Oryctolagus cuniculus: one gene and its partners. The protein of the gene in region 2 interacts with the protein of the main gene of each other region in a pairwise test. Links are inferred from orthologs where the notes say so. Each region holds a gene or a part of one and is shown on either strand. Other genes may lie near its edges.

What was found.
Region 1: the proteins of UBAC1 (region 2) and TRIM2 interact in binary tests that used the Homo sapiens proteins (3 or more experiments, as listed by UniProt). The link is inferred for Oryctolagus cuniculus from reciprocal best matches to the Homo sapiens genes UBAC1 and TRIM2.
Region 3: the proteins of UBAC1 (region 2) and CPSF6 interact in a two-hybrid assay, tested with the Homo sapiens proteins (2 studies listed by BioGRID and IntAct). The link is inferred for Oryctolagus cuniculus from reciprocal best matches to the Homo sapiens genes UBAC1 and CPSF6.
Region 4: the proteins of UBAC1 (region 2) and RNF216 interact in binary tests that used the Homo sapiens proteins (3 or more experiments, as listed by UniProt). The link is inferred for Oryctolagus cuniculus from reciprocal best matches to the Homo sapiens genes UBAC1 and RNF216.

What each region holds. Positions count from the first base shown.
Region 1 is NC_091439.1:9,697,062-9,700,620, forward strand, and holds part of TRIM2 (tripartite motif-containing protein 2), read left to right. Parts: intron 1-9; coding exon 10-177; intron 178-3,559. UniProt on the Homo sapiens protein: UBE2D1-dependent E3 ubiquitin-protein ligase that mediates the ubiquitination of NEFL and of phosphorylated BCL2L11. Plays a neuroprotective function. May play a role in neuronal rapid ischemic tolerance.
Region 2 is NC_091432.1:236,896,824-236,901,023, forward strand, and holds the start of UBAC1 (ubiquitin-associated domain-containing protein 1), read left to right. Parts: upstream 1-1,350; 5' UTR 1,351-1,553; coding exon 1,554-1,691; intron 1,692-4,200.
Region 3 is NC_091442.1:71,555,887-71,559,912, forward strand, and holds the start of CPSF6 (cleavage and polyadenylation specificity factor subunit 6), read left to right. Parts: upstream 1-1,176; 5' UTR 1,177-1,274; coding exon 1,275-1,334; intron 1,335-4,026. UniProt on the Homo sapiens protein: Component of the cleavage factor Im (CFIm) complex that functions as an activator of the pre-mRNA 3'-end cleavage and polyadenylation processing required for the maturation of pre-mRNA into functional mRNAs.
Region 4 is NC_091450.1:39,630,256-39,634,464, reverse strand, and holds the start of RNF216 (E3 ubiquitin-protein ligase RNF216), read left to right. Parts: upstream 1-1,354; 5' UTR 1,355-1,517; intron 1,518-4,209.

The DNA of each region.
Region 1 (3,559 bases), on a different chromosome or scaffold from region 2:
GTTTTACAGATATTTTCCAACGATGGCCAGTTCAAAAGTCGTTTTGGTATACGAGGCCGCTCTCCCGGGCAACTGCAGCGGCCCACGGGGGTCGCCGTGCACCCTAGTGGGGACATCATCATTGCCGACTATGATAATAAATGGGTTAGCATTTTCTCTTCAGATGGGAAGTTCAAGGTAAGGTTGACCAACAGTTGGCCCCTGAACAGTAGTGAGAAGGAACAGGAAACGACAGAATTGTCTTTTGCTTCTTTAAGTTCCACATTATTGTTCAGCAATTCCGTATGCACAAAGACATCTTGTCATCTAAGCGTTACGAAGTGAGAGCCACAAGGCCGATTTCATAGATCTGCTCATATCATGTCTCCTAACTGTGACTTTGTGTTATACAGCAGTGTGAGATTTTCGGTCATTTTCTTAAACCACAGATTTATAGAGGAAGTTCCTGTTACTCATCCAACCTTTTGAAAAGGGTTAAGAGGCAGTTTATATTTTTCAAGTTAACCTGCAGTTGTCACTTGTGAGATCCCCTGTCTTTTCTCAGATGACAGAGAAGAAATAGAATTGTAAGGCGCAGTTCCTGCCCTTTAACTGCACAGGCTCATTGTGGAAGAAAGGCTAATGCACAGGACAGTTCATGTCAGCCTGCAAACAAATGGGTGTAACCTAAAGCCGCAGCGGTAGAGTGTGTGGTAGCAGGGGTTGGAAGGGAAAGAAAATCGAGCCTTAGTTCAGCGAGAAAAGTGTGAGCTGAGCTTGACCTTGAGGGCTCTCATCATTTGATGTGTTTGGTGTTCCTGCCACCATCGACTGTATGGAAATGCAAAACCAGCTTCTGTTTCCCCAGCAAGTAAATATCTGTCTCCTAGAACTTGAGTAGAGTCTAAGTGAGGTTTTATTTCAGGGTGCTGTGTGTCTCATCCAAAACAGGCAGCTAAGCCATGTTCCTTTGCATGCCTCTAGTAACCCTGTCTAAAAAAGGAAGTCTTCTGGATCAGCTGGGATTCAGGCTTCCTGACCCCTGGTGTTACTTCCTAAAGGCCAGAGATGCTGCTTTTCATAAGTCATCCTGGAATCCTGATGACTCCATGAGCTCATTCAATAGACTGTTCACTTGATCTTAGCCAAAAGGCCAGGAAGTGATCGACAGACTCTTACAAGAGCAATTTATATTTTCCTTTCTAACATCTTTGGCTCACTATGGTCACCTCATTGCTTTTATTAAATGAGTTACTTCCATCATTGGTAACCCTCAGATTGGAGCCTCTGGTTTGTGTGGGGTAACATCTTCTCAGTCTAGGAGAGCAAAAAGCTGTCGTTTTGAGTTCCATAATATTGCTCATACTTTTTCAATTGCCCTTGAAGTTTTTGTTCCACTAGAAATCTGATGGCTCCGTGGGTTGGCCATGTATACAGAAAGATCTCCTGCCTCTGTATCCCAAACTTCCTCCCCTTGTTCTGTGTTTTCATAATTGCATTGGTGCTAAGACATACCCAAATAGGACAGCTTTAATAGGAAAATTATTCAAGTGATATCTTGAAAGCATTTGTGTGGTTTAGAAGCAAGCCACTTGTTCCTGTTTCATACTCTATCAAAGCCACCAGTCTATAAATTCAGTAGCTTATGCTAAAAACAGGCTTTGCATATTGAGATAACAGTTTTATATCCAAGAGACCTCTCAGAATTAATCGTTTTTCATTCAGTGGTTCGTTAGTCGGCCAGTAATGGACATACTTCTTGGAAGAACTGGATTCTTAAGGTTGGAATACTATGGCTTTTAACTGGAATAAACACAAAGCACCCCACATCCCCAGAGGATTGGGGAGATGGAAATGGTATAGTTTCTGCAGCACCCTTTCTTACGATGGGTGTTGACCAAAACCCCAAGCGAGGGTAGAAGCACCGCAGGTGGAAACACTTTAGTACCATAGCAGGAGTTCATCCACGGGCAATGTCCATGCCACTAAATACCCAGAGATACTTGTTTTCTTCTTGGGTGGCACTTTGTAAAATTAAGCAGGTGCTGGGAAAGACATGCCTTTACCACCAACTCAGATTATTTCTGTTTGCTCCTAATGGTTCCAGAGATGGAACGCCTTGTCCCCTTCTCTTCCTTTTACTCCCCAGTTTTTTAGCTTCCCTTTTCATTCCTCTCTGCCTCCTCAAGTTCTTCTCCCTTCCTCTTGCTTCCTGACATGTCTTCCAGCTCATCTCGGAACCTTTTGTGATCAGAACAAATACAGAGGCCTCAAGCAGCCACCATTTTCTAAATGATCCCTTTCCTCTTCAATTTATAAACCTCTTTGTTGAGTTCAGCACTCTGATTCTTGACCGTTCCAAAGCCAGAGGCTAAGACATTTTTGTGTGCTGTTCTGTTTTAAGGTGGGAAACAGAGGCAGGCCAAAGGCAGTGATTCTGATTACACTTGGTAGGATCCACTGTGGCTAAACTAGGAGTGATGGAGGGAGAAGGAAAAGGAGTTTTGGTTAAGTGTTTAAGTTGTTCTTTTTATATGTCCTACCTGTTACTACACCACCATGTGATAGAATGGAAGTCGTCCTTTATTTTCTGTTTTTATTCTAGATGATTATCCATTCTGAGGAACTGCTTAAGTCCCTGATGCTAGGTGGTGATCATATGCTTAGTTTTTTTTTTTTAAAGAATTATTTTATATATTTTGAAAGACAGAGAGTTACAGAGAGAAGTAGAGCCAGAGAGAGGGAGAGAGAGAAGGATCTTCCATTCTGCTGTTTCACTCCCCATATGACTGCAGTGGCCAGAGCTGAGCTGATCCAAAGCCAGGAGCCAGGAACTTCTTCCAGGTCTCCCATGTGGGTGCAGGGGCCCAAGGACTTGGACCATCTTCTACTGCTTTCCCAGGCCATAGCAAAGAGCTGGATTGGAAGAGGAGCTGCCAGGACTCGAAACAGCACCCATAAGGGATGCCGGCACTGCAGGCGGGGGCTTTAACCTGCTGCGCCACAGCACCAGCCCCTATATGCTTAGTTTCAATAATCAGAGTGCCACCTCTTCCTTCTGACCTCTTACATTCCGGCAAGAATGTTCTCACAGAGCCCTTTCTTTACCTGCCGTCGTGTGACGAACAAGTGACAGTAACAGGATGGTCTCCTGGCCTCTGATCTTGGGGCTGGAGAACACAGAATCAGAGTCAGTGTTACACAGCAGATGTCCTTGCTGAGAAACCCCTTGTTCTCTCCTAGGTGACCATGTCGCTTTGCTCTCACAAGATCATATCTGGATCTCGCTCGTTTGTAAACTTACAAGAGTAAAGGGTGATACAGAGTCATTCTCTCCCCACTGTAGGAAAGCCCTCATTCCTGAATTACAAAATTTAAAACTACCTCTGTGGCTCATGTTCTGCTTCCATCAGACAGAGCTGATGCAGAGAGGAAACAGAAGGTCTAAAGAAGAAACTTCTGGGGCCGGCACTGTGATGCAGCGGGTTAACGCTGTGGCTTGCAGTGCCGGCATCCTATATGGATGCTGGTTCGAGACCCAGCTGTTCCTCCTCTGATTCAGCTCTCTACTATGGCCTGG
Region 2 (4,200 bases):
GCCAGCTCTCTGCTGTGGCCCGGGAGTGCAGAGGAGGATGGCCCAAGTGCTTGGGCCCTGCACCCCATGGGAGACCAGGAGAAGCACCTGGCTCCTGCCATCGGATCAGCGCGGTGCGCCAGCCGTTGTGGCCAACTAGGGAGTGAAGCAGTGGATGAAAGACCTCTCTCTCTCTGTCTCTCTCTGTAACTCTGACTTTCAAATAAAATAAATAAATCTTAAAATAAAGAAGACTCTCTATTCGTGTCAAGTAAACAATTTAACGACTGGGTTTTACAAGGAAGGGCCCCGATGGCCCAGACCTGACTGAAGTTCGGCCAAGCAGAGAATCCTGCCCCGTCCACAGAGAGAGCCCACTGGACACGGCCACAGGGCAGCCCCACAGAGCCAGCCTTCTTGCGCAGCTGCGGCTCTCTAACTCGAGGGCACCTCAGAAGCACCGGGAAGATTTTGGGCCCCCTCTGGGGGGCTTCGGGTGGAACGTGAGAAACCGCCTCCCCCAGACTCTAGGTCCCGAGGGTCTGGGGTCCCCACTTCAGCACAGCGCCCCCGAAACACAAGGCAGCTGCATGTGCAACTATGCTTTCTAGTGTCCATTGTATCAAAAAACACAAACTGGTGGCTGGGTTTTAATTATTTAACTTAACCTAAAACACCCAAAATACAATTTCAACATGTAACCAATAAAACATTACTTGGATTTTAAAAAAAGATTTATTTATTTGAAAGTCAGAATTACACAGAGGAGAGGCAGAGAGAGAGAAAGAGAGAGAGAGAGAGAGAGAGAGAGAGAGAGAGAGAGGTCTTCCATCCAATGGTTCACTCCCCAACTGGCTGCAACGGCCAGAGCTGTGCCGATCCAAGCCAGGAGCCAGGAGCCCCATCCAAGTCTCCCACGCGGGTGCAGGGGCCCAGGCACTTGGGCATCCCCCACTGCTTTCCCAGGCCACAGCAGAGAGCTGGATGGGAAGTAGAGCAGTCGGGACTTGAACCGACGCCGATGTGGGATGTGAGCGCCACAGGCGGCGGCTTTTCCCGCTAAGCCACAGCGCCGGCCCCATTACTGAGATATTTTACATTCCTTTTCCCCGCCAAGTCAGTTCTGGAGTGTTTCACCCTCGGAGCCCACCTCAGTGTGGACTGGTCCTCGCTCAGCGGTCCCACGCGGCCGGCGGTCCCACGCGGCAGGTGCAGGGCCGGGGACAGGCGCGCAGAACTACATCTCCCGGCATGCCTCGGCGCGCCCTGTGACGCACTTCCGCCACGGCGCAGCTGCCGGAGAACCACATCTCCCGGCATGCCCCGGGCAGTCGCCGCGTGACGCACTTCCTGCGCGGCGGCGGCGGCAGCGGCGGCGGCGGGAGCCAGGCGACGGCTCGGGCCGCGGCGAGTGACGGGCCGCGGGGCCGACGGGGGCCGGGCCGGGGCGGGGCGGCGGCGGCGGCGGCCCAGCCCAGGCGCGCGTGGGCAGCCGGGCCCCGCCCCCGCCCCGCCCGCCGCGGTGACCTTCACGGGCCCGGGCGGCGGGCGCAGGCCCGGGCGGCGGCGGCGCGATGTTCGTCCAGGAGGAGAAGATCTTCGCCGGCAAGGTGCTGCGGCTGCACATCTGCGCGGCCGACGGCGCCGAGTGGCAGGAGGAGGCGAGCGAGGACACGTCGGTGGAGCAGCTCAAGGAGCGCTGCCTGCGACACGTAAGGCCGGGCCCCCGCCGCGCGCGCCCCGCGCCCCGCCCCGCGCCCCCGCCCCGCGCCCCCGCCCCGCGCCCTGCCCCCGCACCGCGACCCCGCACCGCGACCCCGCACCGCGCCCTGCCCCGCACCGCGACCCCGCACCGCGACCCCGCACCGCGACCCCGCACCGCGCCCTGCCCGCCCTCGCGCGGCCCCGCACCGCCTCCCGCGCCGGGTCCCCCGGCGGACTGAGGCTCCCCCAGTGCCCGGCGGGCGTGGGTCAGCCCGGCTTGGCCACCTGCGCGCGCCCCTAAGCCGGAGGCCTGGGCTACGCGCAGAGACGCTTGCCCCGGGGAGGCGCGGGCGAGGCCCCCGTGCGCCCCGGCGCTCCCCCGCCTGGTGTTCGGACGCTTTGGGGCCTTCGGGCGTCCCTCGTGCGGCCAGCTGCGATGGCCGTCCGTCCCCGGCGGCAGCCCTTGCCGGATGCCCGGTGTCCCCCGGGAGCTGAGTTCCCACGTGCTGGCGGGGCCCTGCCGGGCTGAGTCGGGGCCAGCCGCCTGCCGTGGAGCCTGGGGAGGCGGCCCAGCCCTGGCCGCTGCCGGCGTCTGGGCCTGAGCCGGACGCGAGGGACGGGGGTCTCTCTCCGTCTGCCCCCCCCTTCAAGTGCAATGCGAATCCATGATTTCCTGACGAGGTGTGGCCGGTGCGGCTGCTGGCGGACTCCGGCCATCACCTGGCGCCCTCGGTGGAGGGCACGTGGGCCTCTGGTGGGAGCGGGTCAGCGCCCCTGCTCCGAGCCCCCCGCCCGGAACAAGGCCAGGAGGGGCTCCAGGCTCACTCGTCCCCGGGGTTTGGGCCCTGGCGTCCCTGTCTCCTGTCTGCCGTGTGGCTTCCGGGTCAGAGCCCCCACGGCTGTCCGGAGCGTCCACGCCGGGCAGCCAGGCCCAGAGTGTCACCTGGCTGGTGTGGTGGTCCTGGCAGTGTCCCCGCTGCCCCGGGAGGGAGGGACTTCTGGGCCCGGCTCCTCGGGAGCAGCTGTGCCAGGCGGGGTCGCTGGCCCCAGCGTCGCTGCCCGGAGTGGCGTGGGTGCTGAGGGAGCCGAGGGAGTGGCCGCTTGGGCGGCGTTTCTCGGTGGGGTGACGTCCACGGAGTTGGGTGTTACGGCGTTGGTGCTGTGACGGCGTTATCTCCAGCTCACAGACGCACGGCTGTGGGCGGCGCTCGGGGAGGGCTGGCAGCGGGCCCAGCGCGTGCGAGGGCAGGGGCGGGAGGTGGCCGTGGCCAGGGCCGGGCTGAGGCCTTGGCTTCTGTCCGGGGCGCCGGGTTGTGGGGGAAAGTGCTTCGTGGGCCATGTTCCGGACGGGCCGCGGCAGCTCGCCGGTGTCGGGTGGTGACCTTCCTGCGCAGGGGCCATCCGGACGTCTGTCACGTCACGCACGGGCCACGCGGGACTGTCAGCTGGAAGACAGGCTGCCGCGGTGTCGCCGGCTGTACTGTGGTCGTGCAGTGGTTCCGCAGGCCCGACGCCGCCCCCACGCGCCGCGCCAGCACGCGAGGGTCGCAGGAAGGTGTGGGGTCCTCTGCTGCGGGTGGCAGGCGTGCGTGCTGGGGCTCGTGGCTCGGTGGCTCGTGGCTCGTGGCAGCTCAGGCCCTCCCGATCCCTCAGTTGCGGCTCGTTGCAGTGCCCGGGCGGCCGCTGGGTGCCGCTGGGTGCCGCTGGGTGCCGCGGGGTGCCCGTGCTCACGTGTGTGCCTGCAGCCCCCGGGCTCTGGGCCTGTGGGGGGAGGGGGAGGCCACCAGGATGGCGCGGCAGGTCCCGGCGTGGGTGTGTCCTGGAGTGCACACGGCCCCCGCTGAGCCGGTGTTAGGAGAGCCCCCGGGGGCTGTGCCGCGGCGTCTCGCGCGCCCTCCGTCCCGGTGGGCCTTGGGGGTCTGCTGGAACAAGAGCCACCCCAGCAGGGCTCCCGCCCCAGGCTCGGGGGCCCCTCTGGGAAGCGGGGGTTCCGCTCGGTCGCCGGCCGTGCCGTGTGGTGCGTAGGGCCCGAGGGGCCGTGCCGGGCGTCGCCGTGTGCTCACATCGGATGGCCCTGTCCGGCCGCCAGCAGAGCGGTGCTGGGTGCGCGTGCGCCCTGGACAGCTGTGCCCTGTGTGAGGCAGGAGGCCGCTGTGGCTTCCGGAGCCTTCAGGTCACAGGTGGGGCAGGATGGGGGAGCGCGTGTGCCGCCTCACTGCGTGCTGAGGGGCCGGGTCCCGCTCCTCCTGCCCGGGCTGCCCAGGTGCTCTGGGTGTCAGGGCCCTGGAGGCCCTGTGGGCCGCCTGCAGTGCCAGCATCTCATATGGGCACTGGTTCGAGACCCGCCTGCTCCATTTCCCATCCAGCTCTCTGCTGTGGCCTGGGAAAGCAGAGGAAGATGGCCAAGTCCTTGGGCCCCTGCACCCGCGTGGGAGACCTGGAAGAAGCTCCTGGCTCCTGGCTTTGGATTGGCACAGCTCTGGCAGAAGCGGCCATCTGGGGAGTGACTCAGCGAAT
Region 3 (4,026 bases), on a different chromosome or scaffold from region 2:
TAGATGCTGTTGTGCTCTCCCTCTCTGGGACTCTATCTTTAAAATAAACAAATACATTTTTTAAAAATGCCTGAGATTGAAGATGAGAGCAGATAATTCAACTGAGGTCTTCTAGCTGGTAAAACGTCTCAGTAGAAATTTGCACCTTAGAGACTTGCATCCATATCCCCAGATGGGTCTCCCCGAATGCAACCAAGCTTTCCCAACTACAATATGTACAAATGTCCCCTGGCTTATTATATTTATTGTGCAGATGATTTCTGGCCAGTCTGTACCTGAGGAAACATTCTAACCTGATGGGATTTTAAATGAGTGAAAAAGAAAGAAAGGTGGGGAGGTGTTCCAAATTAGAGAGGCATTTTGAATAAATCATTGATGGCAACAGGCTCTCACGGGAACCCCGGTTGAATCGCTTAGGTTCTCCTGGACCTGTTTTCTCACCTGTAAATGAGCTATTTGTACCTAATGACACTCTTCCCAGTTCCCTTCTGGCTGGGTCATTCTATAATTCTAAGAGAGAAGGCTCCGGCCTCCAGCTACCTTGACTTTGCTGGGTGGGCTCCCAGGTGATTGCATTCAAGTGAGAAGCAGCTGAACTACGCCAGCGAAAACCTACTGCAGAGCTAAGCAGGGAAAAAAATGAAGGAGGGAGACGGGAAAGTGGCCAACGACGCCTGGCGAAGGAGACACAAACTGTATGCAAATAGCTCAGACCACCAACGGGTCCGTAGCGTGCACCAGGCAGAGCCGAGTGCTGCCCCGGTAGGATGCAGGAGGACATCGCTCCCCGTCTCTCGGCGCTCCCAGTGCCCGGAGCGTACGCTTCGTATTTGCGCGTGGAATGCGAACTTCCACCACTGCTAGAAGCCCTGAATGTGAGAAACGTAGGAAAAACGGAGGATCGAAAAAAAATTTTTTTGGGGGGGGAACCATTCGAGGGTGCCAGGAGCCACGCGAAAAGGCGGTCTCTGGAAACCAGCGGTATAGGCCGGCAGCGGAGGGACACGAGTTGTCCACGCCGCGCCCCCTCCCCAGCCCAAACCCCACGCACAAAACAAACGGCCGCAGCCGTCGGGAGGAGGCGCAGCTCCTCCTCCCAGTCCGCACAGCGGCCCCGCTGCAGCGCCCTCGCCGCCCGCCGCCCCCGCCTCGGTCCCTCGGGCCTCGGAAGTGACGCAGCGCGCCCCGCCCCCGCCGCCAGATCCGCTGCTGCTGCCGCGGCGGGCGGATCTGCAGGAGGCGGCAGCGGCGGCGGCGGCCGAGGCCGAGGGAAGATGGCGGACGGTGTGGACCACATAGACATTTACGCGGATGTGGGCGAAGAGTTCAACCAGGTACGTGTGGGCCTGGGCCCGCGCCGCCGACGCGGGCGACGCTGCGGCCTGGACGCCGCGCCGGGGGCCCGCCGCGGGCCGCGAGCCGACGCTGCTGCAGACCGTGCGCCCTTGCCGCCACTCGGCCCCGGCGCCCCCCTCGCCCCCTCGTTCTACCGCGTCGTTTCGCGGGCCGCGGGCGCTGCGAGCCGCCGCAGGGCCTGGAGCGCGGTCGCGGGCCGCCGTGCAGGCGCCGCTGGCCCCTCCCTCGCCGCCGCGGCCTCGGGGCTCCCCATTGTTGGCGGCGGCCGGCGAGCGCTTTCCCGCCGCGCTAGGCCCGGGCGGCGGGGCCCGCGTGTGCGCGGCGGGGAGAACGGGCCGCCGCGCCCCCTCCCCCGCCGCCGGCTGGAAGAGGAAGCCCCGGCGGGGCGCGCGCCCGCCGCCCCTGCCGCCCCTGCCGCCTCTTCCCCGGCCGGGCCGCTCGGGCTCCGATTCCTCCCGTCGCTCCATTTTGTCTCGCTGTCCGCGCACGGCCGCCTCATGGAAGGCCGCGTTCACGACCCTTTGTATTCCGCGCGCCCCGTCTCCGGGACGCTCCCGGCCGCTTTCGGCGTGGCGCCCTCCTCCTCGTGCCCGTCCCACTTGGTGCAGGCGCCGTCGGTGCCAGCACGTTTGCAACAAGTCTTTGGATTTGGGGCGCCCGCCGCTTGCGTGCAAAAGCCCGTGCCCTGTTAATAACAGAGGAGCTTGCAGTGCATCCTAGTCTCAGCCGTTCTGGGCCTTTGTGTTGAAAATAGCCGCGGAGATAAGTGGCTGGGGCCGCGACCAGGAATTGGAGGCGCGCAGTGGGGTTTGGATGAAACAAAAAGATGGTTGCTCACGCCCAGATGAGCGTGATGAAGACGTAGACAAGGTGTAGTTTCAAAATACGGAGTGCGAGGTGGGACCCTGTTTTCGGAGGCTCGTGGTTGATCCCCCACCCCACCCCCGCCCGGGCTCTGCTTAGGGTTTGAAAGGCTGCAGGAGGAGCCGGCCAGGTTTTCCAGTGTCCCATCGGACACGGTTGCCCGCGAGAACCAACTGGCCAAGCATCCTGGGAAAGGAACTCGTTTGTTGCTGGAGTAGTGACGTTTGAGCTCCGAGCCTGCGTTTTCTCTAGTCTCATTTTTTTTTTTTTAAATACATGTATAGTGCCCAACTGCAGTGCACCCTAAAAGCTTTTTTTTATGTCTTCCAGGTCCGCATACGAAGTTTTAATATCCCCATGGTTAAAGTGGTTTTTTTTTGTTTTGTTTTGTTTTCTCTTTCCCTCCATTAACAGTTTTACAAATATGCAGACTCAGAATTACTGTTCTGTATCTTAGGAATGACTGTGTCTCTGGTTTAAGTATTAGAAAAGATATTTCCAAGTGGCTTTAAGTGTTTCCTATGCTGTTAAAGACTGTATGTGTTTAAATGTAACCCATTGTAGTCAAATGTGAAGTTTGAAAATGTGTTTTTTTTTTAAAACTATGCTTACGGTTTGAATACATGATGCCAATTACAGGTTAGAAAATTTCCTTGGGCTACACAGTGTTTTAAAGTTGGTAGACAAAGACCTCTAGGAAGTGTCTTTTATTTATCCAACGAGTATAACATTGCATCCAAAAGAGGGCCTGTAACTGCAAGCAAAGGAGCAGTTAAGTTCAAGACTATCTTGGTTGAAGAAAATACATTGCTTCACCTTGCTACGCACAGTGAAGGAAGAATTGCATGATTTAGAAACTGAGCTTTCTTCAGTGCCTCTTCATGAAATATTTTTAGGCTTTTTCATACTTAATTTATGAAAGACTTCTCGCTTATCCAGATAACTGGATGGAGTGATACTTTCTTATCCTTGTGCAGTAACTAGTGTTGAGTAAGCAGGAGGTAAGACATAAAATTTTGTGGACCTACTTTATAGATTGGCTTCTGATCTGCCTGTTGTGGTAATTCTGGTGCACAAAATGACCACGGAAGAGTTGTTGGGCATTTCCAATGGGGAAAAAAATCTTCAAAATAATTTTTCGAAATCTTATTAAAATTAAAGGTAACCACAACAGTTTTTGTGATGGGTTTATTTCATCTGTACTCCGTTATGAACCAGTTACCTTGTTTCTACTAATGGCTTGTAGTAAACTATGACATTTGATTGATAGAATGTTGTACAGTACTGATTTAACCAGTCTTTATTTTGGCTCCTATGTTGCTGTAAACATTTATAAAAATCTTTGTTTTTCCGTTGTGAACTGCAGTTTTAATGGCATTTGTATACTTTGGGATTATGTGTTGTCTGTATATTTTCCATTTTCTTGTTTTAACTGGTCATAGCTTTTATGAAATTTGTCGTCGTTTTTATGTTGCTAACGTTACTTTCACACAGTGAGACTTTCAGCAATCCTAGAAGAAACTTTATTTTGTTTGGGGATGGGGTGAAAATAAGTTAGTGAAATTGTAGTAGAGTTTCTTCTCCAGATGAATTTAAGACTAGAGAATGAAGAGGAGAAGGCACAAGGGACCCGGCTATTTTTCATGGGTGCTCTGCAGTTCTTAAATTGAAGGTCTTTGGATGTCACCGTATTGAGAGCATTTACTTCAGTCGAAGGAGAATTTGAATTACTTTCCTTTTTTAAAGAAGATTATTTATTTGAAAGAGTTACAGAGAGGAGGAGAGGCAGAGAGGAGTCTTCCATCC
Region 4 (4,209 bases), on a different chromosome or scaffold from region 2:
CCACCACACAGCCTGCAGGTCTGTCCGTTTGCCACCGCCTCCTCCCCCTCCCCGACCGTACCAGTCTGCCAGCACGGTCTGCCATTTAGACTCCTGCAGTAGCCCCAGACCGGCCTTCCTGCTTCTCCCCGGCCCTCTCTACACTCTCCCAGCAGCCGGAGACACCACTCACGCCCCTGCTCCCCGCGGGGAACACCTGGATGCTGCAGCCCTGGGGGGGAGGGAGGACACATGCCTGTGCAGGGCCTCTGCCCCTACTTTTATTTACTTGAACGAAAGAGTTAGGCAGAGACAGAGAGAGAGGTCTTCCATCTGCTGGTTCATTCCCCAGATGGCCTCAACGGCCGGAGCTGAGCCGATCCGCAGCCGGGAGCCAGGAGCTTCCTCCGAGTCTCCCACATTAGCAGGGAGCTGGGTCGGCAGTGGAGCGGCCAGGCCTCAAACCAGCGCCCGTATGGGACGCCAGCGCCGCAGGCCGGGGCTTTAACCCTCCAGCCCCTCTCTCCTTGTTTTTTAAGTATTTTATCTGACAGGCAACGTTACAGTGAGGAGGGGAGACAGCCATTTCCCACCCGCGGGCCCACTCCCAAAATGGCGGCAGCGGAAGCCAAGAGCTCCATCCGGGTCTCCCACGTGGCCGGTAGGGGCACGAGCACTTCCGGGAAGCAGGAGAAAGGAATGCTGGGTCGGAAGTGGGGCCGCCCGGACTCGCGCGGGAAGCTGAGTGCGCCACAGCGGCCCCTCCCCGCTTCCAGATCATTCTATGGAGGTGTTCTTAGCCCGGGTGGTCCCCACGGCTCAAGCCCTCACCGCCTTCAAAGTTTTGGCTCAAACACCTGCTTTTCTGGGGGAAATGGCTTTCTCCAGCCACCCACACTACCCCTTCTCATTGCTTTATTTATTTATTATTGCTTTATGTATTCCCCCCACCCTCCTTGGGTTGAATTGCGGCCTCAACACACCCTGCCTGAGTCAGTCTTGTTAGTTAGTTCTTGGCCGCCCAACTAAAACGTCACAGTATTCCTCAAGTATGGCACCCGCCATTCCTACGAACAGCGCCCAGCACGCACGCAGCCGTCAGGGCACTTCGCGAGGAAGCGATGGGCGACTTACCAAAGGCGGGGGCTGCAAATAAGCGGGCACCTGGCCCTCCCACGGCCACCTGCCCTCCAATCCCTTCCTCTCCACCGAGAGGGGTCGAGCAGGGGGCCTCCCGTCCTTTCGTCCTCCCGCCTCGTGGGGGAGTCGAGGCCCCGCGGGCGGCCCGCCGCAGGGGGGCGCGGCTAGGCGGCCCTCTCTATGGTCTCTCCTCCCCAGCGCCCCGCGTGCCTCTATGGTTCTTCCTGTCAGCAGTCGGGAGGGGGCGCTGTGCGCAGGCGCGAGGTGACGCCGCGGCAGGGCCGGAAGGAGCGCGGCGGCGGCGGCGGTGGCGGTGGCGGACCTGTCGGCGGTAGAGCCAGCTGACTGAACGCCGCGGCGGCGGGCGGCCGGGCGAGCTCGCGTCGCGAGCCGGCGAGGTGGGTGGCGAGGCCGGCTTGGCCGCGGGGCCTGAGGCGAGGCGGCCTGTCTGCCCGCCGCCCGGTGGGAGTCCCTGTGGGAGTGGGGGCGGGGGCCAGGGCCGCGAGGGGCTGGCTGTGAGGGCGGCCGGGCCGAGGGGGCGCGGGCCGGGGTCTGGGCCCGGCTCAGGACGCCGCCGAGCCGCTGGAGCCGGGGCTGGAGCGGGCGGAAGGGCTGCGGGCGTCCGGGCGCCCCGCTCCCGCCACTTCGGGAAGTTTGCGCGGGGCGGCCCGCGCGTCTGTTTCGGGGGTCCTCGCTCCGCCGGTCCCGGGCTGGAACCCGCGGGGTCCGTGCAGCCGCGCGCGCGGCCTCGGCCGGCCGGAGGAGGCGGACCGCGACTTTGAACCCTGCTCCCCGCAGCCCCCGGGTGCCGACCTTTCGCCGTCGGTCCCGGGATCTCGGCGGAAGTTGGCGCCTGTCACCGAGCGGGGCCGGGGTCCCGGGGCGGCGCGGGGCGCGCGGGCGGCCCGGCCCCGAGACAGCTCTGGCCTCTGCTGTGGAGCCTGGCGGCCGCTCCGAACCGGTGCCAGCTCCAGTCGTCGCGGTCGGCGACTTGGGGGCAGTCGTCCTTGGGGATTCGACCGTGCAGACAGAACATCGTCTCCGTGCCCTGGAAGGAGGCGGGAAGAGGACAGGGAAAAGCCCCCGGCCTCTTCCCGACTTGGGGAGGTCGCCTAAGCAGTGGCCTCCGTGGCTTTGCCTTGTGTCCGGTTAATTCACTGTGCCCTGTGGGTAGGGCATGGTGGTGAGTTGGAGGAGCAGGCTGGCGGGCTTAGGGCAGAGTTTGCACCCCTGCGTAACCCTCGCTAGACGCTGCACACAGGGACCCCTCTGAAGAGAGAGCTGTTGAGTGGCTCTGTGAGTTAACCCGCTGCAGGCGTCCTGTACGGGCACCAGTTGGAGTCCCGGCTGCTCCACTTCCGATCCAGTTCCCTGCTGTGGCCTGGGGAAGCAGCAGAGGGTGGCCCAGGTCGTCGGGCCCCTGCACCTGCGTGGGAGACCCGGAGGAGTCTGGCTCCTGCCTCCCTGCTCAAACCCTGGCTGTTGTGGCCATTTGGGGAGTCAACCAGCAGATAGAATCTCTTTGTCTCTTCCTCTGTCATTGTAACTCTAACTTTCAAATAAGTAAATCGTAAAAAAAAAAAAACCTTTGAAGGCCTTGTAGTAAAGTCTAATGATTTGGGTTCTGACTCGGAGACTGAAAGCATACAGATAGGATGGGCGGGAGAGGAGTGTTTGCTGACGGGAGGATGAGCTAGTATTGATTACGCTCACTAGTGGAGTCTTGGTTTACTTCAGGCTAGAGTTTTTTTTTTTTTTTTTTTTTTTTTTGGACAGGCAGAGCTAGAGAGAGACAGAGAGAAAGGTCTTCCTTTGCCGTTGGTTCACCCTCCAATGGCCACTGCGGCCGGCGCACCGTGTTGATCCGATGGCAGGAGCCAGGTGCTTCTCCTGGTCTCCCATGGGGTGCAGGGCCCAAGCACTTGGGCCATCCTCCACTGCCTTCCCCGGGCCACAGCAGAGAGCTGGCCTGGAAGAGGAGCAGCTGGGACAGACTCTGGCCCCCTAACCGGGACTAGAACCCGGGGTGCCGGCGCTGCAGGTGGAGGATTAGCCTAGTGAGCCGTGGCGCCAGCTAGTTTTTTATTATTATTTGAAAGGTGTAATGACAGAGATCTTCCATCCATTGTTTTTGCCAACTGGCTGGGGCAGGCTGAAGCCAGGAGCCAGAAACTCCATCCTGGTCTCCTACGTGGGTGGCAGGTGCCCAAGTACTTGGGCCATCTGCTGCTGCTTTTCCAGGTGCCTTAGCAGGGTGCTGGATTGGAAGTGTCGTGGGACTTGAACAGGCGTCTGACGTAGGTTGCCAGTGTCACAGTTTAACCCACTGCAGCACACTGCTGGCCCCATTATCTTTATTTAATATATTTTTTTAAATACCTATTTGAAAGGCGTGCTTACAGAGAGGAGAGACAGATCTTCCACCTGCTGGTTTACTACCCAGGTGACAGCAACAGCCAGGATTGGGCCAGGCCAAAGCCAGGAGCTTCATCCGAGTCTCCTACATGGGAGGTGGTAGGGGCCCAAACACTTGGACCATCTTCCGCTGCTTTCACAGGCCGTTAGCGTGGAGCTGGATCATAAGTGGAGCAGCCTGGTCTTGAACCTACTATGCACAACACTGGCCTCATTGTCTATTTCTAAGGGGAAGAAACTAAGATGTTGAAAACAGCTTACTTGGTCACATTGAAGGTCAGGGTCAGGACTTGAATTCAGTGTTTCCGGAGTCTTTCACTAGTTGTCCATCTGTACCTGTGAATGCTGCCTATTCACAAAGTGTTGCCAAAGTGGCAGCGTTGTGCTTGGCACCGTGCTGTGTCCTGGGGCGAGAAACATGAATCAAACAGATGATCCCGCCTTCTTGGAAGGTTTAGCATGGAGAGCCGTGGTGAGCAGTGTCCTGAGTGACCGAGTGACATTTCTACTGTGCTAAGTACTTTGGACAGCTGAGGGATGCTGTATGAGTTCACGGAGCGGGCGGCGGTGTACGGAGGGGAATAGGAAAGGGTTTTCTCTGAGGAAGTGAAGGGCTGAAGGGTGAGTGGATTTAATTCGGTCCTCAAGAGGCAGTGTAGAAGAGGAGTACAGCCA